Neurospora crassa OR74A: one gene and its partners. The main gene of each other region encodes a partner of the protein of the gene in region 7 in a complex. Links are inferred from orthologs where the notes say so. Each region holds a gene or a part of one and is shown on either strand. Other genes may lie near its edges.

Region 1 (4,034 bases), about 620 kb from region 7:
CCCCATCTCCTGTCATCACCGGGAGCTCCAAGCCCAAGGCCAAGTCACCTACACGCCCAGCTGCTCTCCCAGAACGCCTTACCACTCATACGGCTGCTTCTGGTTCCAAGCTCGGCAATGCGCGCGCCCAGTCGCAGACTCGCGAGCGAGGTCCTACCCCGGCTAGCCGTTCCTCTAGCAGAGCGAGAGTGCCATCCTCTACTGTGTCGGCACCGAAAACGGCCACCTCGACCCTCAAGAGACAGAACTCGACCAAGAACCGGCCTCGCCCTAGTCTAGGTGTGCCTGTGAAGCAGACCGCGAAGGATCATCCGCCAACGAAGAAGGAGAAGGAAGTGGACGAAGGTTTTTTGGCACGCATGACGCGTCCAACCGCGGCATCCGCCTCCAAGACCGCTGAGAAGGTTGTCACATCGCCACCCAGGAGGTCATCGGCCACGCCCGGACCTGCCGCGAAGAGAAGTCTCAGCAAGCCACGGACCAAAAAACCTGCCACTAAATCTGCAGCACCATCTGCGGCTACGACACCGAAACAGTCTCGTGCTGGTTCAGCTGCGGCCAAGGCTGAGCCGGTTCCCAAGGCAGAAGAAGCTGTTGAGGTGCCCCTCCCCACTGTGACGGAGACTCCTCAAGAAGTTGCTCAGCCGGTAGAGGAAGCCACGGAAGCTCCCCAAACCCCCACTTCTGACGTTCATGTTGTTAAGGAGGAGATGCCAGCCCAGGAGACTGAAGCCGCCCCCTCGTCCGCTGCCGAGGTTGTTGATACCACCGATGCTGACATCTAGGAGCACGGCGAGGAGAAGTCTGCCAGCACTTCGGAATTTAAGCACACTTCTGATTCGTAAAAGGAAGCCAGAAATGGTGGATGTGATCGCTTTTTGGCCTGTAGAGTCTTTTTTAATCACCCCTATTACTTGTTCGAGACAGTGAAAGAGGGGGATGCAGTGTTACTGGGTTAGCACATTTCATGATACCTTTGTAGAAAGACCAATCACACATTTGTAAGAAAGTTGGCGAAGCATGAAGTATGAATGCATAGCAGATAGTGGGTTGTACAGCACCCTGGAGCAGGATGAATCGATCCCTTTTCTTATCAATCTTGGTGATATCTGTTTCCACGGTGAGTGCTGATGATTTAGTTGTCATGCATAGATCATAGCATACAGGATGCCAGCTCGTTGTCTTTCTTGGCCTCATACCTCATATTCACATAGCAAGAACCAAGGATGAGCTCTGCTTTGCCAATGTCTATTCCTTTCCATGTTTGTCCAGTCTTGCTAAGTCGTCTAGTGTACAATGGAATCACATCCGTATCGTACACTGCGCACAGAAATGGTTGGCTCCAGTTCAGGTTTGAGATCCTCCCAAAGTGCGGTGACTCTTCCTCCTCTTCTTCTATTCCTCTCGCTTCCTTCCCAACAATGCCTTCCTTTCACCGAATTCATGTCCTATCCCCACCGTCCATCCTTGAGACCCTCCTCCTTCTTCTTCTTCTACCCATCTATTTTACCTTGCACAAAACCAGCCCACCAACTTTCCTCTCCACTGCCTCCCTAACCTCCAACACACCTCTATCAGTGTTCACAAACAAACACTCGCCCAACTGCAACCCCTTCATGTATCCCGCGGGAAAGCCCCTCGCCACACGGTTCAGCTGTTCCAGGGAGGCAGTCACCAGCCTCGACGGCTTCGAAATCGGCTTCAGCTCCTTCAAGACGGGTTCCTCGTTCCAGTACTTGAGTCCCACCCACAACCGGCGCGTGGCCACGTTGGCACTGGTCACGGGCTCGGGCTCGTAGGTCATGAGGGCCTCGGGCGTGGGCGGGTGAGGACCGCCCCGCGTGATGGAGGAGATGAAGCCTGCGCGGTGCAGGGCCAGGGCCAGGGCGAGGTTGTACTTGGTGTTGGGCAGGGAGGTCAGGCCCAGGCGAGCGCGCGAGGCGTTTTGGAGGTGCGAGCACATGTTGGTGATTTGTTGAATGCCCATTTTGAAGGTTTGATGATGCCCGTGTGGGACTTTTGTGTTGCTGAAGAGAGAGAGAGAAAATGGTATGCACTGGGTGATGGGTTATAAAGAGAGAGAAGTCGGCCGTCGTCGCGTAAGTCGTCGGGTCGATCGGCTGGTATGGCTTGGTCCGTCCGGTGTAGAAGTGCTCGGGAGATGCGGCGGCGAACTGGGGACCTTGCGGGATGAAGAGAAGGATGATGCGGGATGAAGAGAAGGATGATGCGGGTGAGGAATCGGTGCTGCAGCGACGGGGCGTCTTGAGGTTAGTCTAGGCGTGCCGATGAAGATTCGCGGGACAGAAAAAAAAAAAAAAAAAAAGGAAGATTGCAACGCACAACCAATCGGGAGACCGTAGCTGTTGCGCACAGTCGGGTGGCCGTCACGGGTCGGTGGTCGTGATGGAGGAATTCGGACTTCGGAGGAGCCGTAAAAACAAGTGGAGGTTTCGGGACTCGCGAATGCGGCGCGCAACGGGGTCCGGATGCGAATTGCGGTTTCGAGGTCTCGATCGGGATGGCTCCGTTAGGTAAGTTGTGCTGCCGATTTTTTGTCCCCCTGCTGCTCTGTCCGCTTCTGCCGTACGGCACTACGTACGGGCTGGCGGGCGTGCGTGCGTTTGCTTGGCCGCCGGGGCCGTGTGGAGGACGGACAGGGATGGTTCGAGAAAAGACCTCAGGCTGAGCGTTGAAAGAGTGAATGACCTCGGGCAATGACCTCCACTGTGCCTTGCACGAAAGTCACTGCAAAAGAGACCCCTGCTGCCCTGAAAGGCCTCCCGTCCCTCCGCCAGAGAGACCAGAAGGTGTCTGTCCGGTGGGGCTTTCTTGGTAGCTCTCCAGGTTTATTGAGGATGGATCCTGCTTACCCCACCTTTTTTCTTGTCTTTCCCTCCCGCTCCTTTCCCTCCTCGTCAATTGTGAAAGAAGGACTGGAGAGTGTGACAATTGACTTGCTCGTGCTTCTTTCTTGGCATCCCACCTTAAGCGCCCAGGCGGACCATCCAGTGACCATCCAGGACGATGCAACCACCAGGCAAGGTCACCTCTACCGGCACTAGGGGTCGCATCACCGACCTATCGTGCGCGCTGGTTGGATGGCTGTGTGCTGATTGCGCCATGGAGTGAGAGCCGAATGTGAAGAACCAGACCACGGTCTCCTGCAAGGGTATGTAAGAGGTAGGGTACTATCGCAAAGACGCGGAAGCCGAGTGGCTTTTGTTTTCTTTGGGTTCCGTCATCTCTGATATTAGGCGTGATAGCCCTCGGGTGGGAAGCTGAGAAAGTTTGCTGTCTTTCAGTTCTCTCAATCCTTTTTACCGTTGTTGTGTTGTTGTGTTTGTTCACTCAAGCGAGTTCGTTGATCACAAAAGATGGCCGCCCGTGAGGGAGAGGAGAACGTCGGCACGTTGTAAGTTTGTCTTCCGTTGATCCCATAAAGAGGTGATAGTTCCTGGGCGCATTCTGACTGATTGATTCGCTGCATAGCTTTGGTGATATTCACTACTTCTACGGCCCTCCAACAAATAACCCGCCTCATCACAGGTTCGACAAGGGCTCCTATGTATACCTTTTCGAAGATGCCAACTTGGGCCGCGCACGGCTGGAGATTGCGAACCAACCTGGAAGGGAAGACCAGGATGCTTTCGATGGCTGTAAGCATTAGGATTTAGAGTGAGAGCTCGAGACGACAGTGGGAAGGCTAACATCATGTGTCGCCAGACCTCGACAAAACCCATCTCGAGTACGATTACAACCACACCTGCCTTGTAACTTTGACGGTTGGCGAGGTCGAGGGCTACGAGGAGTGGCATCTACCAACATACGACCCTCACAATCAGGCCAAGTACCATTACAAGCTTCACTCGCTCGACATTTACTTTCACAACCATCAAGATGCTCTGCAATTCGTCAATGGCATCCGACGTGTGCTCCCTCCGCACCAGTGCGATGTCCACAACGAGCCAGGACCACCACCTCGGCACGATACCGAAGTCAGCGCGGTAGTCCAGCAACTCGAGAGGGCAGCA
Region 2 (4,059 bases), on a different chromosome or scaffold from region 7:
CCTACTAGTTTATTCCGGGAACGGTTGATCTTGATGGGTAGCTAGTGCAAACAATTGCGCAGCAGTCGAGCTGCTTGATGATGATGATGATGATGATGGAAGTTGGAACTCCATGGCTGGCTGGATAGTAAACAAATGCAGCCCTGTTCTCAGGTGGCTCGCGGGAAGAACGAATGCGGTGCCCTTCTCGGACTTTGCGCGCAGACTGGTGAACCGATCAAATGTTGATCAGACCGACCAGAGGGAGGGGGGGCATTCGTCTGAGGGCATCGACGATGCAAGCACACCCACAAATGCGCAAAACAAAAAAAAAAGAGTGACGGATGGTGAAATCCAAAAAGAAGGTCGTTGTGAACGCGAACGGGAAACCACGGCCAGATAGATATATTGACTGCGGTGGCGCTCTTGCCTAGACGAAGAATCCATGACGGCCCAGTCCATGCCCAGGCAAGGCAAGGCAAGGCACAGCACGGCAGTTCACGCCTGCCTTAAACTACCTACACTACGTCCTACATTGATGTACAAACATCATACATACTGTAGTGGTGGCGAGGTGTATGGAACTTGAAATGCTGAGGAAGGAGCAACACTGAAGAAGACGGAGTGCACGATCGATGTGAACCACTGAGCTGCAGTCAGGAATCGACGGACGCACGCCGGTTATCGGCCACCACCAAGAATGCCAATAGTCCGGAATCCGGGATGCTATGTTTTGGAGTATCGCAGTCGCGTTAGTCCTGAACCAATTGACGGCAGCACGGGCAGCAAGTGTCTGAGAGTGCCAACCAGTGCCGCCGGTTTGCTAAACGGTATGTAAGTCATATAATACTTGCTGTATCCTAGTTCGAGTAACACCAAGATTTCGGCCCCAAGTGCTGCTCGAGCAGGGGGGCTTGCCAGTACAGGGGTAGGTACCTGTAGGGTGTGGTGCACGAGTCACACCACCATAGCATTAGATTCAGCAGTATCGTGCATAGATTTTCTTCTTCTTGCGCACCCAAGAAATGCACGATAACACAAATTGGATGCTAATTGATCTTTGCCATCAGGTAGACCCCGCTTTCTCTGCTCACTAAGCAAGTGCCGTTTGACTGAAGATTTCCGTACCTCTCCACTGCAGGGTTGACATCCATCTGTATATTGACGGTAGGTTACCTTGACAAAAAGAGGTGTTTAGAGGGTTATCATCGTAGTGTAATTATGGGGGCGTTGCTTTTAGATATCGATAGACAGGGTTACCCGTGCAGGGGTTTTTGCTGTATCGATAATCGCTTTGATGAATGCCCCCTAACCCTGTAGAAGTACCTACTGCGTACATAGGTAGCCAGGGGGGAGAGTCAGCGGGGGCGTCCGTACTAGGTATGCCGGCCGGCAACCGATAAGCTTGGCAGTTCCAAAATTCGGCCGTGGTCAGCGCTCCCGTCACTGCCGCCGTCGCCGTGATACCTGGAACCGCTCCGCCCGCCCGCCTGCCGGACTCGCCGACTGACTGACCGACCGACCGACCGACCGACCGACCGACCGATTGATCTCAAGACCATCCGAGTGTCGCGTACGCGCCCGGCCTCTTCCCGCTATTTGCAGCCACCACCCATCACCACCGAATTCCTTCTCGTTCGCGCCCAACATGCAGCCAACAAGGGTTCTTTTCAAGAGATCCGTGTGGAAGGGTAAGTTATTTTGTTTTGTCTCCTCCTAAGCTTCACCTTGCGATAATGTACTCTTTGCGCCGTCCAAGACAGTCAAGCTAACCCGCATCGCCGACTCCAGGTCCGCACATTGTCCCGTAAGCTCTACTACCCCTTCCCCTCGTTTCTGTCCCCGCGATCTCAATGACGACGACGACGACGACGACGACGACGACGACAATTCAATGCGCCGGCGCACTCCCGAGGACTCTCTCTCCTCCCTGCTCCCGATCAAAGCTGCCGGCGCATGTCCATCATTCTCTACGAGCCCATCCCGCGACATTCCCCTCCATCCGCGAACCAACGCAGTCCAACCGAATCCAACCGCAACGCTACAAGCATAGTCACCTATCTTGAGCGCAAACGGGCACTAACCACCAACGCATACACACAAAACAGTCTCCCCATCCAGCGCCCCGAGCCCGGCAAGAAGATCGCTCCCATCCGCACCCAGGCCCGGTCCGCCACCATCCTGCCCAACTTTGTCGGCCTCAAGTTCCAGGTACACAACGGCAAGGACTACATTGACTTGACTGTCACCGAGGAGATGGTGGGGCATAAGCTTGGAGAGTTTTCTGCGTAAGTGCTCTTTCTTTCTTTCTTTTTTTTTTTTTTTGGTTCTTTCTTCCCCTACTTTCACTAGTCTACTTTTTTCCTTTCTTTTCCTTCTTTGACTATTATTTTTCAATTTCAATATATTATTTTTTTAAAGGGTCTTTTTTTTTTCCTTTTTTTTTTTTTTTTAAGATGGCGGCGGAAATGCCATAAATGTTGGCGGTGTGGGAAAAGAAAAAAAAAAAAAAAGAATTTTCCTACACAAAATTCAATGGTCTGACACGGCATGGCCATGGCATTGGCTGGTGGCAAGCCATGAATGGCTGGACGGGCGACATGTGTTGGACGCCACCACGGGATGATGATGATCGTAGGCGGTGGTGCAGTGTGGTCAGCAGAAAACAAACAACACAAAAGACACACATTGGGCATATGGACATGAACAATTGGACCGACACTAACTGAATGGTTCAAAACCTCAAACAGTACACGCAAGCCCTTCATCTGGGGTAAGAAGAAATAGACAAACCAAACTTCGTTCGTCTCTTCAGTGATGATGATGAAGAAGAAGAAGAAAAGAGAAGAAGAAGTCGATTGATTGATGGATGCGGGTTTGACACGTTTTTTCTGTGGGCGGCGTTTATTTCGGCAAAAAACAAAAAAGCATATTTTCGTTGCTTATCTGTATCATACCATACCATTGTCAGAGGAGGGCACAGGTTTCTGTACACATATCATATTTTGGGGCAAATTAGAACTTTCGCTTGGATTCATACTACTGTGCTGTGTCTGTTGTTTCAAGATGAACATGTATATGTTGTGTAGTGTGTAGTTTAATTATGCTTTGTAATTGATAAAAATATGCTAGTATCGCCAGGTATTATTATTTTTAGCCTAGACTAGTAGTCATAACGGGTTCACTGAGAGCAAACAGGACGATGGCAATCTTCCATAACGGCGCCTCCTGAACGCCAAGCGCAAAAAAAAAAAAAAAAAAAAAAAAAAAAGGAAAAAAAAAAAGGAAAAAGAAAAGAAGACCCGATGACCCCAAACCCCTTTTGCACCGTTCCCGTGTTGGACCCTTGATTGCCGACCCTTTGCCCATCCATCCATCCATCGATGCATCATCCTCTTGATATCCTCCTCCTTGAGCAAGTAACCACTTGTTGCCGCCCCTTTAAGATAGTATCATCCTTTGGTCTGCCATGCCACCATTCCGCTCACACTCAGGCAAACCACCCACCGTTTCCCCATCCCTTCTCATCAGTAGAGCAGACAGTCCTGCACCGTGACCGTGACTGCCCCCCTAGCGATAAAACTCGCTCCTCTTCACATTAACCCCAAACTCCCCTGCCGCCATGCCCAAATCCTCCATCGTCAGCACCGTCCTATTCTGGCTGCCACCCTGTCCACCACCACCGTACCCCGGCCTCTGGATACCCAACGGTCCACCTCTGCCCTGATCCTTCGCCCCCGCCGCCTGATTGGTCGGTTGTCCAGGAATAGGGAACCCCGCCGCGGCACCCAGACTGCCCATCGGGTTGTTCGCGTTGGTGTTGGATGCCCTGATGCGGGAATACTGGTAGGCGTCGGCGGCGATGTCGGCAATAAACTTTTGTGTTGCCAAGGCGAGCAGACGGGCCAGACGTTGATCGGTTTGTGGCGGGGGAGGAAGGCCGGCGCGGGTCATGTAGTAGGATGTTACTGCATCCGGTATCTGTTGTACAGCGAGTTCTAGCGTTAGCAGGTTATGATATAGAATATTAGGTAATGGATGAATGAAGATCAAGGGAAAAAGAGAGGGAGAGGGGGTGAA
Region 3 (4,228 bases), on a different chromosome or scaffold from region 7:
AGGAACACGGTGGGTGGTGGCGATTGGTGAGAAATTGTCAGTTGGGAAGTTGTGAAGCGCGTCAAAAAGGTTCCACGGAGGGATATGCTTTTCTTGTTTTTTCTCATTCTTCTGCTCCAGATGTTTTGCTTCACGGCACTCTTGGTTTGCGTGGCCTCGATCCATAGATCGGCCGATCGTGGTTTTACTGCATTTCCTGACTTTCCTGGTTTTCTTCTGCAGGCGGTTGTGCTGGTTGGTATGGAGTTTGGGAGTTTATGTTTTTCTTATTGTTCGTTTTTTTGTGTTTCCTTTTTTTTCTTCCTTGCATTCACTACCGGGTCTTTTGTGTCTAAACGCCGGGATAAAGTGGTAGGATACAAACGCAGCGTCAAGGGGGTTGGTGATGGTGGTGGTGGTGGTGGTGGTCAGTTTACTGCTTGCTTGTTCCGGGCGTTGCTGGTATGGTGGGTGGAAAGACTGGATTTGAAAAATTTTCGTTTTGAAGAGAGAGAGAGAGAGAGAGAGAGAGAGAGGGAAGACTGGAGTGATTCATTATTTAGGTAGCCGAGTGAAAGTAGTGGAAGGTAATTGATAGAGATGGTTTACATTAAATCTCACTTTAGTGAGCCCCGGTTCTGGATGTGTGTTGACTTGGTGATATGAACATGCCTCTGTTGCCGTGTGTTGCCGTGTGTTGGCGAGACTGATATCATAGTGTTTAACTGGGAACTCGAGAGGATCGATCAACTACATTTGATAAGGGGAGGTAGTGTAGCATACAAGTGTGGTAACTGAAACGAGGATGAAGTTTGAGCGAAGAGCCCTCACGTCAAGTTTTCAAAGATCACCCGTAACTTTAATATGATCGTGTCTGACGTTTCTTAATCCCAAGCCATCCTTGTTGAGCCGGGACCGATGAACTACCTTGCTTTAAGGAATCTGAATATGGCGTCGTATTCTTTAGCGGATCACATTCCACATGCGTTATCGTACATGAACAAAGACGGGTCCGGGAGTTTGTTCTCTAGCTGGCTTGACTGATATGATACTCTGACCGTTTCGAGTGCACCCTAATTCACGCCAGAACTTCTTGATCGACGACGGTGATCCATTAACGGGGTCGAAAAGGAGTCAGGTTCCTCCTTCCTTCAACCTGAGTGGGTATGGATGGTTCCGCAACCCATTCGCAATGAAGATTTCGGATACGTATGCTGCCTGTCTGTATGTATGTATCCCATGTTGCTATCCAGGTGTCGTGCGTTCACGATGTACCATTGCTCATCGAAGGCCCAGATCGTTATTGGTGGGTGTTTCGGTCGTTTTTATTGTTGCTGTCGACGGAGGTAAGAAGGTATAAAGATGCCTGCCATCCATCCGTCCATATATGTTGTCCGGTCTGCTTCATCACGGCCCTTTTGGTATACACAAGCCGGTAAGGAGATGGGATGGATATATGTCGATTCGATTCGACTCGATTCATTATTTCCCATCCATCTGTCCATCCATCGTACACATTCCCCCCCCACCCGCCCCCTCTTTTGCTCTCCGTCCAGAAGATACAGATTTACGCCTCCTCTAAACTCCTCCAAGGAATCGCCCCAAACCTCGACAGCGTCTCCAGCTTGCCATCGCCCAACTTCACGTTCGCCGTGCGGATCACGCGCGGGTCGGCCTTCATGGTGCGTCGGACTTCTTCGTGCGTCGCGATGCTGGCGTCGTACCGCATGACAAAGTAGTGGCCCCGGTTATGGCGCTGCTGGTTGGTGGAGATGGGACGGGGCAGCAGGAACGTGCCCCAGTTCTTGATGTCGCGGATGACGCCGCCTTGGTTGAGGATGAGTTTGCCGGCTGTTAGGACGAGTCTGTTTTTTTTTTATTGGTTCTTGTTTAGTACGACGAGGTGTGGAAGGTTGGTAGAGGATGGGATGGTTGGGTTGGGTTCGGAGTCGGAGTCGGGGTGATAGGTAGGTAGGGTCGTGGATGATGTGGTAGAAGAGAAGACAAGAGAAAGATCGGTCGGTTCGGGTCGGGTCGGGTTCGTAAGGGAAAGGAAAGACGGAGGGAGTTTTCTTCAAGTCGGACGGACTATCGAGTGGAAACAAAGAGAAGGGGAAAAAAACATACTCCTTCACCTCGGCGATGTTGCCCGGGCGGACCTGTTCACAAGTGCAATCATTAGCAAGACTGTCTCTTTCCATCTCTCTCCTCTCCCATTCCCTTTCCATTTCCTTTCCTTTTCTGTACCCCCAATCTCTTAACCTGCTCCTGTAGTTCAACCCTAGGGTAACTCACAATACCAATAGTCTCATACAACATCCTGTCTGGTAGTTTGGGCTGGGCGGCGGGCAATCGGTTCGGGGAAAGAAACGAACGCAAAAAGAAGTTTAGTTTCGCGATGCGATGCGATGCGATTGCGACCGGCCGAAAGCGCGTATAGTACTACCTAGTGAACCTTGGACGTCGATAAGAAGTTCGGAGCCCCACAGTAGGTACCGCTGTGGCTGCTGTTGTGACCGGGCTCAGCAAGTACTGTAGGGTGTGGTGGGTGTTGCCGTCAGCAGTGCCGCATTGCCGCAGTGCCGCAGCGGGTTGGTTGCGAGTGGGCGTCCGGGTGCCGCCGCTTGCTTGGAAATTTTTGTGGGGTCCAGGAAGAAGGTCGAGATTCTGCCGCGTTGACCGCCTTCCGGATAGGGGTGTACACACTTCATCAAGGGTGGGTGGGAGAGAGGTTGTTTACTCGACTCTTCAGCTGTCACCTCGGTGATTGTAGAGACATCTGTTGGGTGTAATGGTCCTCCAGAAAAGCTGTTTTAAAAGTTCCTAAAGGGTTATAATGTGGTCTAGAAGCAATGAGAAATCAGACTTGTTCTAAAAACATTCCCAACCGCTTCATACACCTTTGAATGGCCTTCATGTTGTAAATGCATGCTCTTATCGGTATTGTGTATCTGGAAATGCGCTGTGTAAATGTATTCTTTGCTCTTTGCGAACCAACCTCTGATCTTTCGATGCGCCGCTTGACCACCATGGCAGCAACCTCAACAAGATGATAACCGCCATGAGAGCCCCGAAAGCCCTCCCAGCATCAACTGGCAACAGCATGACCATCAGTGCTTCTCTTCTTTGCCCCTCTTATCCTCCCTGCGCCAAGGCGAAAGAGTCCTCACCAACATCCTCATATGCTCCCCCCCGTATAACCACATCCACCCACTTGACTTCATCCTTTACACTCCTTCCCCGGATGCTCATGACCAACTTTCTAATAATCCTCAACATCCATCCCCTCCCCTCCTGCTGCCCCCGGTGCAGGCGCCTTGGCAATCCCCTGCTCCCTGCACCAAAGCACAAAATCGTCAATCACGCCCGGCCACGCCTGGTCTTCGTTCCAGAACCCGAGCGTCTCATCCACCATCGTCTTCTCCGCAAACGCCAGCGTCTGGTTCCACATATCCTTGTTGACGCTCCTCGTCCACTTCTCCGCCAAAAACCGCTTCCACGCACCCAGCCAATCCACGTTCTTGCTCTTCCACGGCCTCGGTCCTAGTCCTGTATCTGAAGACTCGGTGCCCAAAAACAAATCCCAGAATACCAAGGCAACGTCCTTCTCCAGTGCCTTTTGGGCAGGTTCCTTACCCAGGCCAAAAGCGAACTGGTAGACTTTTTTGAAGTAGGCCGGATTTTGAGGCAGGTTTTGGATGCACATCCGGACGTAGTTTCTGTGGTGGGCCGGGTCTGCGGGAATGCGGTGGTCGAGGTAGATGGAGGACCACCCCTCGACGAAACCCTGGCGAGTGATTTGGCCGATGGAGTCGGCGCGGACGATCTCAAGGACCACAAAAGCTTCAACGTTTTCGATATTGGCGCCCATGGAGGAGATGTAGGCTTGGGCGGCTTCGGCGCCGATGGCCTCGACGGGTTTTCCGGCTCCTGCTGCTGCTCGGTCCTCGTCTGTATCGATGTTAGTTCGAGGGGAATGAGAGGCAGGGGCAAAGAGACATACCGCCGACCAGACGGTCGAACAACTGATTCAACGCATCATCTGGGCCACGCTTCCTTTCCCGATCATTCATATACCTGTGGTCGAAGTAAGGTTAGTCTTCCGTTTCCAACCTGATAAATTTTGAAAATAATAAGCAAGGCATCTTAAGCCATCACGGACTCTAATTCCGGCGCATTTTCCAAGGATGAAGTGGATATTCCCTTGGGATCTATGCGTGGACCCAACTCCCCATTGCCAGTCGGTAGG
Region 4 (3,749 bases), on a different chromosome or scaffold from region 7:
GTTGCGGGTGCAGCATCCTCCACCGCAGCCGGGCTTCTCCTCTCTGGTCTATCATGGCTATGGCTCATCTCCCTCGTCATCACCGTCGGGATAGTGCTTGGTACCTTTATTGTCTACCGGCACTTTGAAATGATACGCCGGCGTCAAAAGCCAGGTGGCAGCTGGCTCGTCCCCAGCAATACGCCCCAACCCAATGCCGCTGGCACACAAGTTCCCAACACCACCTCTCTTCCTGCTATTTACTTCACATATATACTTGGCTCTGGTGGACACACTGCTGAGATGATTGAGACCATCAAGCAGTCATTTCGCGGCCAGGCAAACATCCACCGGCGGTACATCATCTCCATCGGAGACACTTCCTCTCTCGGCAAGGCCCGCCTTCTGGAAGCGACTATCAAGGACGCCTATCCCGGAGAAGATGATCGAGCAGGCACCTCTGATATCTTCTTAATCCGCCGTGCGCGCAAGGTCCATCAACCGCTCTATACGGCACCCTTTACCTGCCTCATATCCGCCTTTCATGCCGCCAATGCCCTCACACGGATGCCCAACCCACGGTCAACAAAGGATCATGGAAAGGGATTCAGATACCCGCATGTGATTGTTACAAATGGGCCTGCCAACGGCTTTATTGTGTGTTTGGTGGCCCACTTGCTCAAGATATTCTACCTCGTACCCGAAAACAGGGCCAAGGTGGTGTACATCGAGACCTGGGCCAGGTCCAAGACGATGAGTCTGACGGGGAAGTTGTTTCTAAAAACGGGCATTGCCGATGTTGTCGGTGTGCAGCACGAGAGTCTGGCGAAAATATTCAAGGGCAGTCAGTATATCGGGCCGGTGTCTGCCGGGTTTCTTCGAAGATAGGCGACCAGGCTCCTGAATCACATGTACTTCTACAAAGTCTCTTGCCCTCTCTATATGTACAAAGAGACGTGATATTCTTACACTTGTGCACGAGTGGGCCGGCATCGTCTTTCCCCGACACGGATGGGTATCAGCCACGCTATACCACTCTGTCCCTCCCCTTTTACTCCAATTCGTTGCCTTAATTCTGCGCGAGCAGCTCGTCCTCCTCAGATTCCTCGAGCGCAGAGTTGTCGACGACATTGGTGTACATGGAAGCCCTGGCAGATTCCTGGCGGGCGATCTCGGTCGTAGCCCACTTCTTCCAACTCTCATACGTCTTGTTCTCGAGCTCCATGCCGACCGTCAGAAGGTCCTTGCCAAAGTAGCCACCAACCATGCGGGCCTCCTCGACGGCTATCCTGCGCTCCATCTGCTCCAACTGCCTCAACTTGTAGAACTCGTGGCGCGCCTTGTCGTAGGCTTCCTGCTTGGTCATGCCTTGATTCTCCATAAGCCAGAGCTGACGTTGAACGACACTATCGTTTGCGATTCGGGTTAGCATCCAATTTCCATGCCTGTCCGCCGGGCTTTTGCGCCATGTGCAATGCGCTCATCCAACAACGTACCTCTCGCCGGACAAGGGGATGCCGCGTTGCCTGAGGCCCTTGGACCAGTCAAGGAAACGGGCGTCCTTGCCATCCAACTCGATAATCATCCTAGGCCTGGCCAACTCCCAAGGGTGGTCGCGGTAGAAGTCGCGGCGCAACTCATCTTCGGGATAGACGATCTTGGTGGGCCTAAAGAGGTTGCGTGGCTTGCGCGCTCGCGGGTTCGGCGGAGAGTGCTGGATCGGATACGGTCTGGTGTTGATCTCAGCGGGAGGGATGGACTCGATGGCCTTGAGCCACAGTGGTGGGTTCCGTGGTGGCAGGCCAGAGACGATGTTGGTGGCAGCAGCCTCGCTGGCCCTCTGGTAGACCTTTGCGGCCTGGAAGATGCGCCCCTTGCCCATCTTGTCCGGTCGTCGCTGGCGGCGTTTGGGTGTTGTGGAGGGAATTACTGGTGATAATCGACGGCAGCGGTGGTGTTGGCTGAGATCAGAGGACCATTGGCGGATTCGGCGGTCCTTTCGTTCCTCAGGTACCCTCCCAAGGCAAAGGCAAGGCTACGAGGTTACGGGGTGTGTATACCTGTGTAAGGTAATAATAATACACTGCGCTGCGCTGCGTAGGCACAATGGATTCCCTCACCCGCCAAACCTATCGTTATCGCTATTTGCTTAGCTTTGTCCAAAGTGGAGCTGTGCCTTTTGGAGACAGGCACGATCCGACACGACCTTCAGTTGTTGCCGGTAACCCGCGCGACCTGCTGTCCTGCCTGCCGCGAGCGGGCGAGCAATTGGAAGGACGTGCCGGCAAAAAAAAAATAGTTCCCCGCCCCGCCATTAAGCGACCAAAGGGAAGGGAAGTACCTAGCTAGGTGCTTATCGATAACAGAAGTGGGGGTCTTGAGCCCGGCCGAGACTGGACCCTATTCCAGCTTCCCCTCTTTCGTAGAGGCAGGGGTGGGGTGTGCTCACGGCAAGGTACCTGGAGCTGTGCCTCGTCCATGTATTGTAGTGTACACCACTACACTACCCCAACTTTTTCTCAATCATCGCGTCGCTCACCCGACCCCAGTTTCCTGCCACATCCCTCCTCACTTCATGACTCGAGTTCTCCCCATTCTCCCCATACTTCCCCGCCCTCCACGAATCTGACGCCCTGACCACATCGACCTGAGTACGATCCAATTCGCCAGTAACCGCGATTGCATCGAGTGCCAATCGAGTGCGCAGCAGCCAGCAGCTTGTGATTGCGTCTTCTCTGAGCTCTTCTTCATCGAATTGCGGCCGACACTCGCGGGGAACAGGCAAGAAAAGGTTGGCTGAATGGGCAGGCCATCATGTTGGACGGCGGCAGCTCATGAAAGTCTCCAGCCGATTTGAAGGGTCGATATGCGGCACCATCTTCTTGCATCGTCCGTCGTGGAATTGGTCTGCCATTGCCGCCTCCGCAACCGCAATTGCTGCCACCAGTTCCGTGTCGCAAACCACAGCATCCATCCAGCTCGGTGACCAAGGCAGCGGACGAAGAAGACAGGTTGCGACAGCAGGCCTCGGCCCAGTACAACAACGACGGTGCTTCCACGGCAGCTGGAGCTCACAAAGTGGTGGCCTTGTCGATGGGGTCGCGAGGAGACCCATAGGCGGCTCCACCGGTTGCCCGCTACTGACCACCCCATCCCTGCGGGTAACTCCCACCAGTCTGTCCGGCACGAACAGCAGACGAGCACTCGACTCCAACTTCTTCCGCTATTCGGTCTCTGCTCCCCAAAAGCGGAGCCACACGGCGGCGGCGGCGGCGGCGGCAGCCCCGGTCCCTGACCCCGTTGCCGCAGCTGCCCCCGAACCCAGTGCCGATCAGAAGCCCGCCGACTCTGTCTTCTCGGCCCCATCCGCGCTACATGACGATCTATCGACCGAGTCCCACTCGGGCGCAAACCCACAATCACAAGAGCTGCCCGAATCCCACAGTGCGAAGCTCGGTCATCTCACCAAAGAAGAGCTGCTTGAACTGGTAGATCCCTATCATGATCTAGATGGAACGGTCGAAGACTACCTCAAGTTCATTCGCGATCCTTACATGCATAATTATGCGCCCGCTGATAGGCCCCGGTTCACCTTTGTACAAAATGAAGATGACTACGAGTATCCAGGCCCGGACGAAGTGGTTGGACTGGACGAATTTGGCCAACACACACTGAGCGATCTCAGGTTTGCTGTACTCGTGCGGCTGCGCACTCCACACAAGGTTGACCTTGACACGATCTACGACCTCTACCAGCAACTGCCGGAACCG
Region 5 (4,600 bases), about 1.9 Mb from region 7:
AGCTGAGAAGAGGGCCCAAACCCAATCAACTTAAAGTGGAAGAAAGAAAGAAAGAAAGAAAGAAAGAAAGACAGAAAGATCAAATTTCGTCAGAACAACAGTTGTGTTGCATGTATATCAATATACATATATACCTCTATATATAAAAAATGAATCATCTCGACTGATCCTCCCTTGAGCTTTACCTCGTGCTCAACTTGGGTGGTTTCAAAACCGGGACATTACACATCGATTGAGTGACCGTGAGTGAGTAAAGCCAGTTCGAACCAAATCTTTGACCGGATCCAACGTACGGAGTCCCAATGCGAGACATGACATGGCATGGCATGGCATGGCAATCGAGACACCGATACACTCACTCTGCCGTCCTTCACCGGTGCTCGGTTTACGTACCTACTTTTAGTAGCTACCGCGCTGAAACGAACCAGTGAGGTCTCGGCCAGGCAAATCTGATAACCTAACAGTCAATAGTCAAGATTCAGTTTGTCACCGATCACTCGGCATGGAGCCTGAGGCCTTGCGAAGGAGGAGAAATCAGAGGCTGAAACTACAAAGGTAGAAGGGCTACAACTGGCAGCGGTCAGGTATGTTTTCAACAGCTGATGTGTCGTGGTAGTTACCTAGTGAGCTGATATCGTGAAGGAAGCAGACATCATGCGGAGTAAGGAGTAGTCGGACATGTAGGTCCGTATGAGGTCCTTAGGAGATGTACTAAAAAGTTTGGTCAAGTAAGCAGAGAAGGTTGGATGTCGATGTCACAATGTGCGTCCATCTTTCAAAGTGCTATATTTACAATTTGCATTTGACCTATCCGTTTGTTGCTTCGTTGCCGTTATCCTGCTTTCCTCTTTCACACACACACACACATTTGGTTCATTGGTAATATACACATGTAAAAGTATAGATGGCAGCTGCCGGGGCTGGCTTGGTTTTTACTTTCCTTTCTCTTTTTCCGGCCGGTCTCACCGTCATGCTATCCTATCGTACAGAACAACTTTTCCCTATATATCCGGGTTCCATATAGACAGACAAAGTCACAGAAGTAACTTGGGCAGCAACCGTACAATAATCCATCTCCATCCCGTTCCACTCGCTCTTTCTACCCCTCGGACAAGGTGACAGCCGTCGGACTGTCGATGGCGGCGGCAGGCATGGACTGATGGACCAGTAGTCGCGAGTAATTCAGAACCAAAAAGTCGAGGCTTAAGCTTTCACGCTCCCGCTTCACTTCCTACTTCAATTCCTCCTCACTCCTCCCTCCTCTTCCCCCGCAGAATGGAAGCAAGAGGCTAAACAGAGCTATCACCGCCCGTCAAGATCCTAGTCTCCAGCCTGGCCTCCTCCTCGACCTTGGCCCAATCAATCATGTTCCACCAGCTCTGCGCATACGCCAGCTTACCACCCATACCACCCACACCAGTTCCGTATTCGCGAAGCCACGCGTACTCCCACGTGTTGAGGCACAAGATCGGAATCAAATCAGTGCCGCCGGGAGCCGTAGGTTCAAGCTTGTTGCCCTTGAACCCAGCTGCGCTGCGCTCGAAGAAGCGCTGGCCGTTGCTCAAGCCCTGGGGGGAGCTCCCGATGGAAGTCTGGGCGTCCATCTCCTGGCGGCGCCAGTGGGCGCCCGGGTAAGGAGAACCAGCCAAGTAGGTGGCCATGACGCGGAGGGCGACGGGCTGACCGGGAAGCTGGGTGCGGACGAGCCAGACGAAACCGGGACCGAACATGGAGACGGCGGTGCCGATCATCTCGTCGCGGAGCGTGTCGACGGAGCCGAAGTTCTCGTTGATGTGGTAAAATAGCTTGTCGCCCATCTTGACGGGGACCGGGGACAGGTGGTCGAAGAAGAAGTGGTTGTTGTGCGCCATGGAGGCGTGGTTGAACACATGGGCGAGCTCGGGGTCGCGTGCGGTGGCGAGGACGATGGACTTGGTGTCTTTTTGCTCAAAGTCGGTGCCTGTTTGACGAAAGAGAAGTAAGCAAAGTGGTTTGTCGGTTAGATATCTCCCATGCAGCAAAATAGGTGACATCATGTCTTCCCCCCCGGATAGGCAGGGCATGCTCTGGCTTGAGCTTCAATCCGAGTCCCCTTCCTTCTATTTCCTCCACCAATTCCTTTGTGGCCTAACCACTGCGCTAATGCCTCCTCTTCCTCTCAGGCTTAACAGCATCCCAGCTTGGCGTTTTCGACCAAAGGATACCAATTCCTCGCAGCCAGTAATCCTCGCACGTAACCTTCATCCATGCCATGCCGTGCTATGCCGTGCCACATGATAACGCAGCGACACCAAATTCCCCAGACGAGTATGTTCTGTGTTGCTGTGTCATCCGTACGTACCTACTACAAGCGCGTTAAGCTTCTCCAAAATGAAGGTCTGGTACTCGGTATAGGCCATGTTGACGGAGCCGGGGCTGAGGAAGTTGCGGATGCCCTCTTGCTCGAAGTTGTCGCGAAGCGGCATGAGGTAGTGCTGCCATCTCCTTTGAGCGGCGATGCTGGCGCCGGCGACGGCGGACTGGTTGGTGGCGACAGCGTTGACGGCACGGCCGAGGAGCGAGCTTGTCGCACGGGGTATCCTTAGACCCATGGAGCCGATCATTTTGTCTGTTGGGGTTTTTTTTGGTCTCTTTCTCCGCAAGAAAACGGCCCGGGGGTCGGAGGAAAGGTTCGGTGGAAGGGAAGGTCGGCCGGTCGTTCGGTCGGGGGAGATGGACGGTGGACAGTGTGTGTGGGGGGCGGACCTTGAGGACGGACGGAGACAACTTCAAGACTGGACGGGCTGCCGGCGCAGAGCGGACGCACTTCAGAACACACGGGCACTCAACCCCGGAAGACGGTCGAAGTGGGACGCGACTTTCGAGACTTTTTTTGCTCCGCTGCGGAAGGACCCGGCCATTGGAGCAGGGACCAATCGTTGGGACGAACTGGCGGCCGGCAGCCTCACCGTCCTCGCAAAGAGCCAGGTTTGACCCTAACCCTGGATGTTATTGAGAGGTACCTACCGTCCTTGGTGGGGTAGCTGTTTGCCAATTCCGGAGTTCCGTACTTGGCGTTCACATTGACTTGCGTCTTCAACCGTTTCGATGATGTACTGGTGCACAGATACTGGGCATCTTTCTCTACTTTGCTCGTGTATGTGCTATGTTCATTATCGTACTTTGACCGATATTCTGTAACGCTATTGTAAAATAATTCCGTGGACGCCGTTGCTCGAAGTCCGAACAACTAACAATAATCACGAGGCGAACTGGACGCCCTCACCGGACTTCCCCCACCAGTACTACTTGACGCCAAAAACGACCCGATGATGCAGTATCCCGAACAGAATGAGGAATATAAACAGTGAACACCGACACCCCCTTTGAATCAATTTCCCTTCCTTCCCTGGTCATTCAAACGTCGTCCTCCACCATCGCAAGAACATCAAGCTCGTTCCTGACCATCCGCTCGAACTCTTCACGACTGATGCCAGCGCCGCGTGACAGCTGGAATAGACTTCGAATCGTCCTTGAGACGTGCTGCTTAACTCCAAACTCGACTCGATCTTGCGCTTCCGCCGTTTCTTCGAGCTTGGCCACCATGCGGGATCCGTTTGAGCTGGCGCTACTGGCTGGGCGCGGATGAGCAAGGCTTTCCATCCTCTCCTCGTCCGCCTGGGACATGCGCCGGCCACTTGAGTCAGAACCGGACTTATCAGAGGGTGATCGGGATGGAACGTAACCGCCGTTGCCGTCTCCGTTTAGGCCCAATGGCGGCGGCGCTGGTGCGGACTTGATGACAGGCGGCTCATATGCCTGTTGTCTTGGCGACGGAGACCTGCGAAGGGGGAGACCATTAAGCGGTGCACCACCCCCCACAGCTCCGCCCTGGAAGGCCTCCTCGTCTGGATCATGGGGGTCCATGGCTGGCTGTACGGATTCGTATTGGGCGAAGTACGCATCTTCGGCGGACGGACTACGCTCAAAGGGATGGGGTTTTTGAGTGTTGAGGCCGGCGCCCAAGGACGGCGGCGCAGGAGAGCGGCCTTGACCGGGAGTTTGGGAAGGCGTGGCATCGTATCGGCCCCAGTAATCATCGTCGTCATCCTCTTCAACCGGTTCAGCTTGGACGGATACTTGGGCAACTGGTTTGGTTTCTGGCACAGAGATTTGTTGGGCCTTGAACGCCTTCTCTGCTTCATCGAGTGTAGCATGACCCTGGAAGGATTCGAGGGGAGATGGATTGCTGGCTACACCGACCTCGCCCACACGCCATCCGTCGCCGCCACCGTCTTTGTCGTTGACGCAGTACACAAGACGAATGAACAGGTCGAACTCTCCCAACACCACGAGGGTCTGAAGTGTCTCGGGGTCAGGTCTCCTGTACTTGATGTGGACGTCGTAATCCCAATCTATCTCCACTTCTCCCGATACCGGATGGGGATCCAGGCTACCGCTTTGGGCGATCTCGGTGAGTCTGGAGACCTTCGAAGTGTCATAGGTAAGAAGACGGATCCATGGATCTGAGCTGGCGCCGGAAAGAAGCTGTACTCGCTGTCTAAGAATGGGCGAAAGAAGGGGCAGTACTGTTGTAGCTGGCTCGGTCGACGCAGACGCT
Region 6 (4,586 bases), on a different chromosome or scaffold from region 7:
TAAGGTTGTGAGCAAGCAGTGGCTGAATCTATGTTGCTGTGGGAGTGAGCGGGGCTGGTGAGTATCTGGCGGTCGCGTGTCGAGAGGTTTAGTCCCGACAGCTGCCAGTCCGCTGTAATGATTTTCGTCCCGAGTGTGTTGCAGTTCGTCGCCGTCTGAGGGCTGGCAAGGTTCTGACGACCCGGCGGGAGGTGAGGGCAGCAATTTCCCAAGACCCAAAAAAAGAACCTGAAACATGCAACTGAATACGTAACATACAACTAGAATACATACCTGCTGCAAGTTGGGAGACATCAACTCATCGGGAAGCTTCGTGTTCTCGTCCTGAGACTGCGAGAAACTCCTGGAAGCCGAAGCACGGCGCTCGTTGGGCGAGCCGGTGGATGCTGCGACGGCAGACATGGTCGTCTGCTGAGGGCTGGATGTTGAATGACCTAGCCTGAGGGGATTGGAGGGATGCTTTGGGTGCTGGTGTTTCACAATGGGAGGAGATGCTCAAGATGGTGATAGAGAAAAGCAGTAGATTTGGTTCCAATGGCGACGAAAGACACAGATAAATAGAAGCTTGGGGGCGAGATGACCACAAACCGCTTTTGAGAGAACACGGTTGGTGATGGCACCGACAAGAAGATGCAGAAAGAGAAGAAGCCTTAGAAATATGTGTTGATATAATGGGGAAAAGAGAAAGAGCTCCAAGAGCTGGTCTGGGACGGAAGAAAGAGTGTAAATGTGCCCGAGATACCCGTACTTTCAGCTACAGTTGCCCTGAAGTTGGACCTTCTCGCAAGGCAACAGCAACAAACCTCTTGGTGACGATGGACGCACCGGTCAGAATAGGGCTAGAGGTAGGTAGGTACCTCTAGGGTAGGTATGAGCCCGGGATGACCGAGACTAAAGTCGAAATGGTGGACCCTTGGCTCCCGAGGGAGGAAGGCACGATGGAACTGTGACCGGGACTGCCCAGGTGTCACTGCCCGGACACTCCAAGCAAAAAGGGGTTCACGATGCCTGTGAGATAATCCGCAATCTCTGTGATCAAAGCTCACTTGGGCTGCCATCAGATGATCTGACGAGTGAACGCACATCGGCTCGTCCATCCGAAGATCGGAATCGAATATGATGAGTCGCTGGGGAAGTTGCGACCGGTATTCCAGCTAACGATCATCGGCCTTTGGCGTCGTGCCTCCCGTCCTTGTGCCTAGCGGGATCCTTATCACCAAGCCGAAGTTTTTCACGTGTCGCGGGGACGTCGGGCATGATGGTCAACCGAGCCAGCGATGAGACATCCTGCCGCGTTAAGGACCTTGCTGTCCGGCTGCCACTTCCCATACGATCAACGGGTTTCTGGGTTAGGCGTCCGAGCCCCAATGACATATTCCGAGTTCATTAGGCGGTATTCATACCTAGGTGTTCATGTCACCTGCCATTCGGTGTGATCTACCATTCTTCGTCGGAATGAAAATGAGTAGAGTAGGTAGGGAAGCATGCAACGTCTGGAAGCTTCAACAAGACAGCACCATCACCTAGCATCGTGGACATTAACAGATAGGAGTGGCGGGTCGGCTTTTCTCGTCCGGTAGGGCTGGGATGCCAAGGTCTTTGCAAATTATGGTAGGTGTGATTAGCTTCCTTTCCTATCCATTTTTATTTTGGAAAAGGCTTGAAATGGAGCAGGAAGAGCCAGCGCACCTTTTCACATTCATGGCGTTCTTTGACATGGACGGCTTGTGCAAAGATCTTGGGTGATCCGACACTCGCTTGTTGTTTTCACCCAAATGATCAAAGCTGTTCGTAAAGAGGGACAATGGCGAAGGGTCATATCCTCCCTCAAGCCCATCCGCGCTATGGAATCAAGATACGGTATCTTCAGCTTATCAACAGGCGCTTCTTTGTTCGATGCATCAAGAGACTTGTGTAGACGCATGGGAGGACAGTCCCGAGATGAACCTTTGACAAAGCTGGTAACCACAAACCTGCTTGTCGAACTAGGCGGCTATTCAACACCATTTGAAGGGGCAAGTGCCGCGGGCGTCGCTAACCATATGTACAGTTGTGGCAGCACCTCGTCACGGGGAGACTGTGATGGCATCAAGTACTGAGCGGAAAAATGCATGTCGAAATGGACCAACTGCCGGAGGAACGCCAGGTATTCGGGGTATATGATTCTAGTCCGCCCACTATATGATACATGTACACGTCGTGTAGTTCTGATTTCGGGACGCCGTGTCTTATTTCTTCTTCTTCGCATCTGTCGCAGAATATGAACGTTAGAGATTTGAACCGTGAGTAAGAGGTGCAGACGAAACCCACCGGCCGCCGAGGGTGCCGTTCTCTTCTTCTTGGGCGCTCCCTTGTCGCGGGCTCTCAGACTGTAAGGTATGGTTAGATTGTGATGTTTGCAAGTAAACACTAGCAGGAATGAGAGAGACGAACGCTGCCAAGTGCTCCAAACGATCATCATCGACCTCATCGTCAACCTCGAGACCAAGAGTACCGAACTCCTTTTGAAGCTCGCGAATACCGACGTTCTTGCGGGGGTAGTAGGTCGCAAGTGCCGGGCCCTTGAGTCGCTGACGCAGGATCTTGTTACCGGTCCGGATGCCTTCGGGATTGAAAGTCGTCGAGAAGAGCTCGCAACGAGCCTAGGTATAACCTAGTTAGCGAACTGGTTTTTCCCCTCATTCGGAACTGTTCCATACCTTCACAAGTTGCAGTAACCGCGCCCGTGGGACCGACATCTTGCCGTTACATGGAATTGCGGATTCGCGAATTCTAGAAACAGCAACAACAAGAGCCGCCGGATTGTTCGACGTCGTTCAGAGATCTCCCGCTCCAGCCCGTCAAGCAATGCGCCACCAATCATAACCATTCATGGGTACAAAGAGTGGGGCACGGACTGCAACCGTTGTTTTCGAGCCGCAGTGTCCCCGGGCCGTCAGCGCAAGCCCGCTGATGAAGCCGAGGGCGGCGCGTTCCAGGGCTGACAGGCGCTAAGAATGACAGCTACGGGCCATAACAGGGCAGCAGCAGCGCCCTGATGTGGATCTGGGGTCGAACAGGGGGTTAGGGTTTCCACTACGCAATGGCCCGGGATTCGTTCTCATCTTGAAGAATCCGTTTTCGATTCTGCCTCTACAATTTCATCGCCGCATCAACGCGCGATCTGAGGCATTCGGATTGCTTGTAGGAAAGTACAATCTTGCCATGCCGAAACACGGACCCACCCCGGAGGAGGTATCAGAACCGCCCTCCAAGCGTGCGAAGTCAGACTCTGCACCATCCGCATCACAAGGCGCTACATTGGAGTCCGCAACCTCCGTCCAAATTCCTTCTTTGCATGCCAATACCAAATGGACACTCGCTACCATCCAGAGAATGCGGCCACCGCTCCCCGACATTCTGGACCCGGCACTCAAAAAGGCGGCGCTCACACACCCTGGTAAAGCTAACAACGACCCTGTTGCAAGTTATGAGAGGCTGGAGTGGATTGGCGACGCTTATCTTGAGCTCATCGCCTCCTCCTTCATATATCAAACTTTCCCGACCTTGCCGGCTGGCAAAAGCGCACAACGTCGCGAGATGCTTATCCGCAACACCACACTAGGCGAATTCTCGGTCTATTACGGCTTGGACAAGATGGCCGATATCCCGGAAGAATTCAACATGGAGGGCAGAGTGGGCGGTACAAACGCAAGTCAAAAAGTCAGAATTAAGATTCTCGGAGACCTTTTCGAAGCCTATGTAGGAGGCGTGATTCTTTCTGATCCTGCCAATGGGATTCAGCGTGCTTCAGACTGGCTCAAGGCCCTATGGGGCCCTCTCATGGCGGAGTACATCCGCGAGGAAGAGAAGAAGGCCAGGAAGCCGGAGCAAAAGCAATCCGCAAGTGGCCAGACACTCGACCCAAAGACAGTACTCGAAGCTACCATTGGAGCCAGGGGTGTCAAGATCGAGTATAAAGATCTCCCTTCCAAAAACCTGAAGGACAGGGGAACCAAGCTGCCTCTTTTCGCTATTGGCTGTTTTATGACAGGCTGGGGGGAGACCAACCTGCAACTTGGGCACGGAAGTGCTTTGAGCAAGAAGGAAGCTGGTCAGAAAGCAGCTCAAATGGCCTTGGATAACAAGAAGCTGCTCAAGAAGTTTGCGGACAAGAAGGCGGAGATGAAGGCCGCGCGGGAAGCCCAGCTGCAGCAGGCAGGAGTGACGTTCCCCTTGAAGGATCAGCCTTCGGCACAGGAAACCACTGGCGGCGTGCTGTAGCGACCAAGTACTGTTCGGTCTCATATGCCCCTGATCTTTAATACTTCGACACACCAACCATCACATGCCCGTAGTCTCGTGGTTTACCTCGGGCGTCGGCCATGAGAAGGACGCATAGCAGATGAATTAGGCCATTCATTACTACGGGTAAACGACCCGGGTTCAAGGGAGGACCAGGGACCGTTTCGTTTGCACATACGAAGAGAAACCACAACGAACAAGCTGTGGCCAAAGTCGATGATGAACCATCTTGTTCATCCACAGGTCAGCACCTCCTTTCATAGTTAGTAGAGATATCCATCAGGCATCTTCGGAATGTTATA
Region 7 (3,517 bases):
GCTGACGAGTGTCGACCGTGACGATCTGGCCGATGGTGGTGCCCGACACTTTGCAGAGACGATTCGCCGGATCAAGCAGAAGAAGCCGACCCTGCTTGTCGAGGCCTTGACCGGTGACTTTGCTGGTGACTTGGACATGGTTAAGATTGTGGCGGAGAGCGGACTGGATGTGTATGCGCATAACGTTGAGACTGTTGAGAACTTGACGCCTTACGTGCGTGATCGCCGTGCCACATTTCGCCAGAGTTTGAAGGTGTTGGAACACGTCAAGAAGGTCCGGGGCAAGGAAGGCATTATCACCAAGACCAGCATCATGCTTGGTCTGGGTGAGACTGAGGAGGAGCTCTGGGAGGCTTTGAGGGGTAAGTCATACCAATTGCGCTTGCCCATTTGATGGATGCTGACCATGATGTTGCTTTGTAGAATTGAGGAAGGTCGACGTCGATGTCGTTACCTTTGGACAGTACATGCGCCCAACCAAGAGACATCTCGCGGTCGAGAAGTACATCACTCCCGACGAGTTTGAGCTCTGGAGGCAGCGTGCGCTTGACATGGGCTTCCTGTACTGCGCTAGTGGTCCTCTGGTCCGTTCTTCATACAAGGCCGGCGAGGCTTTCATCGAGAACGTCTTGAGAAAGCGCTCTGGCGAGAAGGTTGTCTCTGAGGCTCTTGGTCAGGCGGTTGCCGCCGAGGAGGCGACTAGCGTCCAGTCCTCTTGAGGCAGCTTATGCTAGATGTGGTTTGCGGAGCGTGTTTCAACATTTATAATCGGGATCTAGGCTTTCACAGCTATCCTGTGGCGGGCAAAATAACAGACGGATGACGGATCGGTTATTAGGCACCTTGGGGGTTGCATGCGTTTTGGCGTTAGGGGAGATTGGTTCTTTCGATTACTTTGAAAAAGACATTCATTCGTTTGCCGTGTCTGAATATAATATTGTAACAACAATTCTACACAGCGGGCATCGGGAGAGAGATTCCCATGTCCAAAAGGATGCATCATACAAACTCCCTCTGCCCACTGAAAAGCTTTTGAAGCACTCCTCATCATGCGATCACTTACTTATACGGGTATCTCAAAAACCCTGCGTACAGTGATACTTTCTTACCAACACGATGGCCCGAGCCCATCTGGGTTTTGAACAGAGTTTATTCGCCTCTGGGCGTACCGGCACCATCTCCAAACCACAACAAACCTCTGGGTTCCTTGTAGCCATGCTCTCTTTTACCAAGAGGCCTTCTTGACACCCGGAATGTTACCCATCAGGGCGTTCATACGGAAATTGTACTGTTTGCGATCCAACAGTGTTAGCAAGTCGCGCGCCTTTGCAGGTTTCCATCATTCCCATGCGGAGCTCAGCTCTTAGGACACCACTCCTTCTTTGAAGCAATCGATAGCGACATACTCTTGTCATCTTGAAGTCCCTCAAGATACCTCGACTCTTTCCACCAAGGATGCAGCGGTTCCGGATCTGCGTGGGCCTGGTGTAGGCATGCATCTGGGTGAGCTGGAGCTGGGCGACGGCCCTGGTACGGGCAGGGAGGGTGGTGTTGCGAATAACGTAACGCAGGGCTTGTCTGTATCATAAAGCAAGGAGTCGTCAGATCGTTTGTGCTTATTATAGTCGCAAATAAGGATCGCAAGGCGTAGGTAGTTACCTCTCAGGCTCGGCCTCCAAAAAGGCCTTGCGCTTGGAGTGGTCACGAAGGACCCGGACGTTGGTGAAGCACCCGAGGTCGAGCTTCTTGGCACGAAACATGGACATTTTGGCGGTTTGGTGTTCTGGGGCAGATTGGCGGGCTGAGTCGGAGATGGGCGTCGATAGCGGCGGATCGAGGCGCGTAAATCGATGTCACAGGCACTGCAGTCGTTGCTTCCCTCCGGCGTCGTCGCCCGCTAGCCGCAGTCACTCTCCCCGGCTCCCACGGCGGCCAGTGGCCTGTGCGCTTGCCGTCCAGCCCTGCCGCGTGCGGAACGACAAATTCTGCCGGGCGGTGTCATTTTCATCGCAGGTTGCAAGCGCCAAACCAAGCAGCAACAAACACTTTGCCAGGTGTGCCAGTCGCACACCAGCTGGACGGCACTTTTTCTACGGGGCTCCACTCAAACTCTCAAGCTTGCAGCTCGTGCACAGGCCACATCTGGGCCTATTTAAGACTGGCCCCCCCTCCCAAATTTTTACCTGGTTTTTTCTTCTTTTTTTCTTTAGCTCTCTTTGCCTTTTGGCTTAGATCAAGTGTAGTATCTGTTCTTTTCAGTTTAATCTCTGAAACTGCTCTACGGAGTAGAATCGTGATTATTCTAATTTTTGCAACTCGGTCGGCATCCCTCTGGGCTTGCCTATGGTTGCCGACCACTGTGTCCCTGGTATTACACTGCCTCCAGGCGACGCGAACTCAACACTACTACTTGCTTTGTGCTCATCTTCACTTTTTCGTTGCAATCTCTGGCTACAGGCTGGGGGTGTGAGGAAGAAGGATTGTTTTGGATGGGTTGACTGAGTGGTGCCTTTCGAATCATTCTACCTACCAAAGATGTAGTTGTCGTATGCGAAACGAGTGTGTTAAGTTCACCCGTACCTTACCGAATACGTTGTTCACGGGTTGCAAAGGTTGATGCCTGCCGTTCGCATGTGACAACCACATCCACCACCACTTTCGTACGTTCGACGCACCCTTTACCAATGCCTTTGATGATCGCTGGTGTTTAGCAGTATACGTTCTATCAGTCTACGGATGATTGCTCTCGTTTGCAGCAACCTTGAGCCTGCCAAAAGAAACACCTGCATGTTGAAGCGGCTTTCGGTTTGTGTGCGACTGTTTCCTATGAAAATTGTTTGTCAAGCAAGTTATCTCTATGATGGGATGGGGAAGGTCTGGATGAGATGGGCAAGAGACCCTACAGTATGTCAACACCTTGACGGTTGCAATGTCATCGCGGTTTGGCCATTCATCTGAGGAGAGGGAGTCGAGTGTCTCGTTCGTTGTCTGTTTACCTTCTCATGTTCGCTCGTTAGTATCATCCCATTCCGTACTCCGACTTCGCCTATCTCGTTCTGTGCCTGAGAAGGGAAGAACAACTGCTGGGCTCCTTCCGTCCCATCTTCAACCGCTTCCGTGGCCTTCGAGTTTCTTCGCGATCCTCCAAGCAACGAAGTGTTTAAATACTCCTCGACGCGATCAGCGTTCTAGGCTATCCTTCCTCTCGCTTGCAACCGTCTTTTGACTCCTCCACAACAACGCACCCAGGAAACTCGACGACTTTCCAACATACAAGATGTTTCGTCGCCGTTGGTCAGGCCTTCCGGCTGAACCAAAGTTCGCCCCAGATCTCAAGAAGCTCAGGTTCGTGATAATCTGCCTAGTCATCCTTCCCACGACACTCACTCTGATATATCTTGTGCGTATAGTTATTTCATCAACGAGGAAGATGAAGTTCGCTACGTGCATGACCCCGACTTCTACTTCAAGTATTTCTCGACCAAGAACACGAGGTACAACGACTGCCAGCGCTTCG

Evidence for each region.
Region 1: NCU00564 (region 7) and NCU02951 share a complex: the UniProt entries of both Saccharomyces cerevisiae proteins name them as parts of the mitochondrial small ribosomal subunit. The link is inferred for Neurospora crassa OR74A from reciprocal best matches to the Saccharomyces cerevisiae genes MRP2 and MRPS8.
Region 2: NCU00564 (region 7) and NCU08728 share a complex: the UniProt entries of both Saccharomyces cerevisiae proteins name them as parts of the mitochondrial small ribosomal subunit. The link is inferred for Neurospora crassa OR74A from reciprocal best matches to the Saccharomyces cerevisiae genes MRP2 and RSM19.
Region 3: NCU00564 (region 7) and NCU05717 share a complex: the UniProt entries of both Saccharomyces cerevisiae proteins name them as parts of the mitochondrial small ribosomal subunit. The link is inferred for Neurospora crassa OR74A from reciprocal best matches to the Saccharomyces cerevisiae genes MRP2 and MRP17.
Region 4: NCU00564 (region 7) and NCU03343 share a complex: the UniProt entries of both Saccharomyces cerevisiae proteins name them as parts of the mitochondrial small ribosomal subunit. The link is inferred for Neurospora crassa OR74A from reciprocal best matches to the Saccharomyces cerevisiae genes MRP2 and RSM25.
Region 5: NCU00564 (region 7) and NCU07386 share a complex: the UniProt entries of both Saccharomyces cerevisiae proteins name them as parts of the mitochondrial small ribosomal subunit. The link is inferred for Neurospora crassa OR74A from reciprocal best matches to the Saccharomyces cerevisiae genes MRP2 and RSM26.
Region 6: NCU00564 (region 7) and NCU01761 share a complex: the UniProt entries of both Saccharomyces cerevisiae proteins name them as parts of the mitochondrial small ribosomal subunit. The link is inferred for Neurospora crassa OR74A from reciprocal best matches to the Saccharomyces cerevisiae genes MRP2 and RSM27.

What each region holds. Positions count from the first base shown.
Region 1 is NC_026501.1:8,605,255-8,609,288, forward strand, and holds NCU02951 (mitochondrial 37S ribosomal protein MRPS8), read right to left. Parts: upstream 2,779-4,034; 5' UTR 2,344-2,778; intron 2,248-2,343; 5' UTR 1,988-2,247; coding exon 1,502-1,987; 3' UTR 1,049-1,501; downstream 1-1,048. Other genes in the region: NCU02952 (hypothetical protein), read left to right, coding at 1-785; NCU02950 (hypothetical protein), read left to right, coding at 3,378-3,415, 3,493-3,659, 3,727-4,034. UniProt on the Saccharomyces cerevisiae protein: Component of the mitochondrial ribosome (mitoribosome), a dedicated translation machinery responsible for the synthesis of mitochondrial genome-encoded proteins, including at least some of the essential transmembrane subunits of the mitochondrial respiratory chain.
Region 2 is NC_026502.1:3,811,444-3,815,502, forward strand, and holds NCU08728 (mitochondrial 37S ribosomal protein RSM19), read left to right. Parts: upstream 1-1,248; 5' UTR 1,249-1,627; coding exon 1,628-1,670; intron 1,671-1,770; coding exon 1,771-1,786; intron 1,787-2,087; coding exon 2,088-2,267; intron 2,268-2,729; coding exon 2,730-2,766; 3' UTR 2,767-3,018; downstream 3,019-4,059. Other genes in the region: NCU08729 (transcription initiation factor TFIID 23-30kDa subunit), read right to left, coding at 3,550-3,960. UniProt on the Saccharomyces cerevisiae protein: Component of the mitochondrial ribosome (mitoribosome), a dedicated translation machinery responsible for the synthesis of mitochondrial genome-encoded proteins, including at least some of the essential transmembrane subunits of the mitochondrial respiratory chain.
Region 3 is NC_026503.1:614,041-618,268, reverse strand, and holds NCU05717 (mitochondrial 37S ribosomal protein YmS16), read right to left. Parts: upstream 2,561-4,228; 5' UTR 2,299-2,560; coding exon 2,275-2,298; intron 2,139-2,274; coding exon 2,107-2,138; intron 1,845-2,106; coding exon 1,547-1,844; 3' UTR 848-1,546; downstream 1-847. Other genes in the region: NCU05716 (hypothetical protein), read right to left, coding at 3,242-3,930, 3,983-4,056. UniProt on the Saccharomyces cerevisiae protein: Component of the mitochondrial ribosome (mitoribosome), a dedicated translation machinery responsible for the synthesis of mitochondrial genome-encoded proteins, including at least some of the essential transmembrane subunits of the mitochondrial respiratory chain.
Region 4 is NC_026502.1:1,034,216-1,037,964, forward strand, and holds NCU03343 (mitochondrial 37S ribosomal protein RSM25), read right to left. Parts: upstream 2,202-3,749; 5' UTR 1,862-2,201; coding exon 1,476-1,861; intron 1,386-1,475; coding exon 1,049-1,385; 3' UTR 868-1,048; downstream 1-867. Other genes in the region: NCU03344 (hypothetical protein), read left to right, coding at 1-867; NCU03342 (hypothetical protein), read left to right, coding at 2,814-3,749. UniProt on the Saccharomyces cerevisiae protein: Component of the mitochondrial ribosome (mitoribosome), a dedicated translation machinery responsible for the synthesis of mitochondrial genome-encoded proteins, including at least some of the essential transmembrane subunits of the mitochondrial respiratory chain.
Region 5 is NC_026501.1:6,129,200-6,133,799, forward strand, and holds NCU07386 (Fe superoxide dismutase), read right to left. Parts: upstream 2,874-4,600; 5' UTR 2,604-2,873; coding exon 2,342-2,603; intron 1,961-2,341; coding exon 1,290-1,960; 3' UTR 829-1,289; downstream 1-828. Other genes in the region: NCU07385 (hypothetical protein), read right to left, coding at 3,397-4,600. UniProt on the Saccharomyces cerevisiae protein: Component of the mitochondrial ribosome (mitoribosome), a dedicated translation machinery responsible for the synthesis of mitochondrial genome-encoded proteins, including at least some of the essential transmembrane subunits of the mitochondrial respiratory chain.
Region 6 is NC_026502.1:2,520,110-2,524,695, reverse strand, and holds NCU01761 (hypothetical protein), read right to left. Parts: upstream 2,943-4,586; 5' UTR 2,739-2,942; coding exon 2,700-2,738; intron 2,643-2,699; coding exon 2,434-2,642; intron 2,370-2,433; coding exon 2,311-2,369; intron 2,249-2,310; coding exon 2,229-2,248; 3' UTR 1,690-2,228; intron 1,598-1,689; 3' UTR 824-1,597; downstream 1-823. Other genes in the region: NCU01760 (pumilio-family RNA binding repeat protein), read right to left, coding at 274-402; NCU01762 (nucleolar RNAse III), read left to right, coding at 3,205-4,263. UniProt on the Saccharomyces cerevisiae protein: Component of the mitochondrial ribosome (mitoribosome), a dedicated translation machinery responsible for the synthesis of mitochondrial genome-encoded proteins, including at least some of the essential transmembrane subunits of the mitochondrial respiratory chain.
Region 7 is NC_026501.1:7,986,220-7,989,736, forward strand, and holds NCU00564 (mitochondrial 37S ribosomal protein MRP2), read right to left. Parts: upstream 1,972-3,517; 5' UTR 1,767-1,971; coding exon 1,660-1,766; intron 1,579-1,659; coding exon 1,407-1,578; intron 1,289-1,406; coding exon 1,226-1,288; 3' UTR 870-1,225; downstream 1-869. Other genes in the region: NCU00565 (lipoic acid synthetase), read left to right, coding at 1-362, 424-719; NCU00563 (hypothetical protein), read left to right, coding at 3,278-3,345, 3,411-3,517. UniProt on the Saccharomyces cerevisiae protein: Component of the mitochondrial ribosome (mitoribosome), a dedicated translation machinery responsible for the synthesis of mitochondrial genome-encoded proteins, including at least some of the essential transmembrane subunits of the mitochondrial respiratory chain.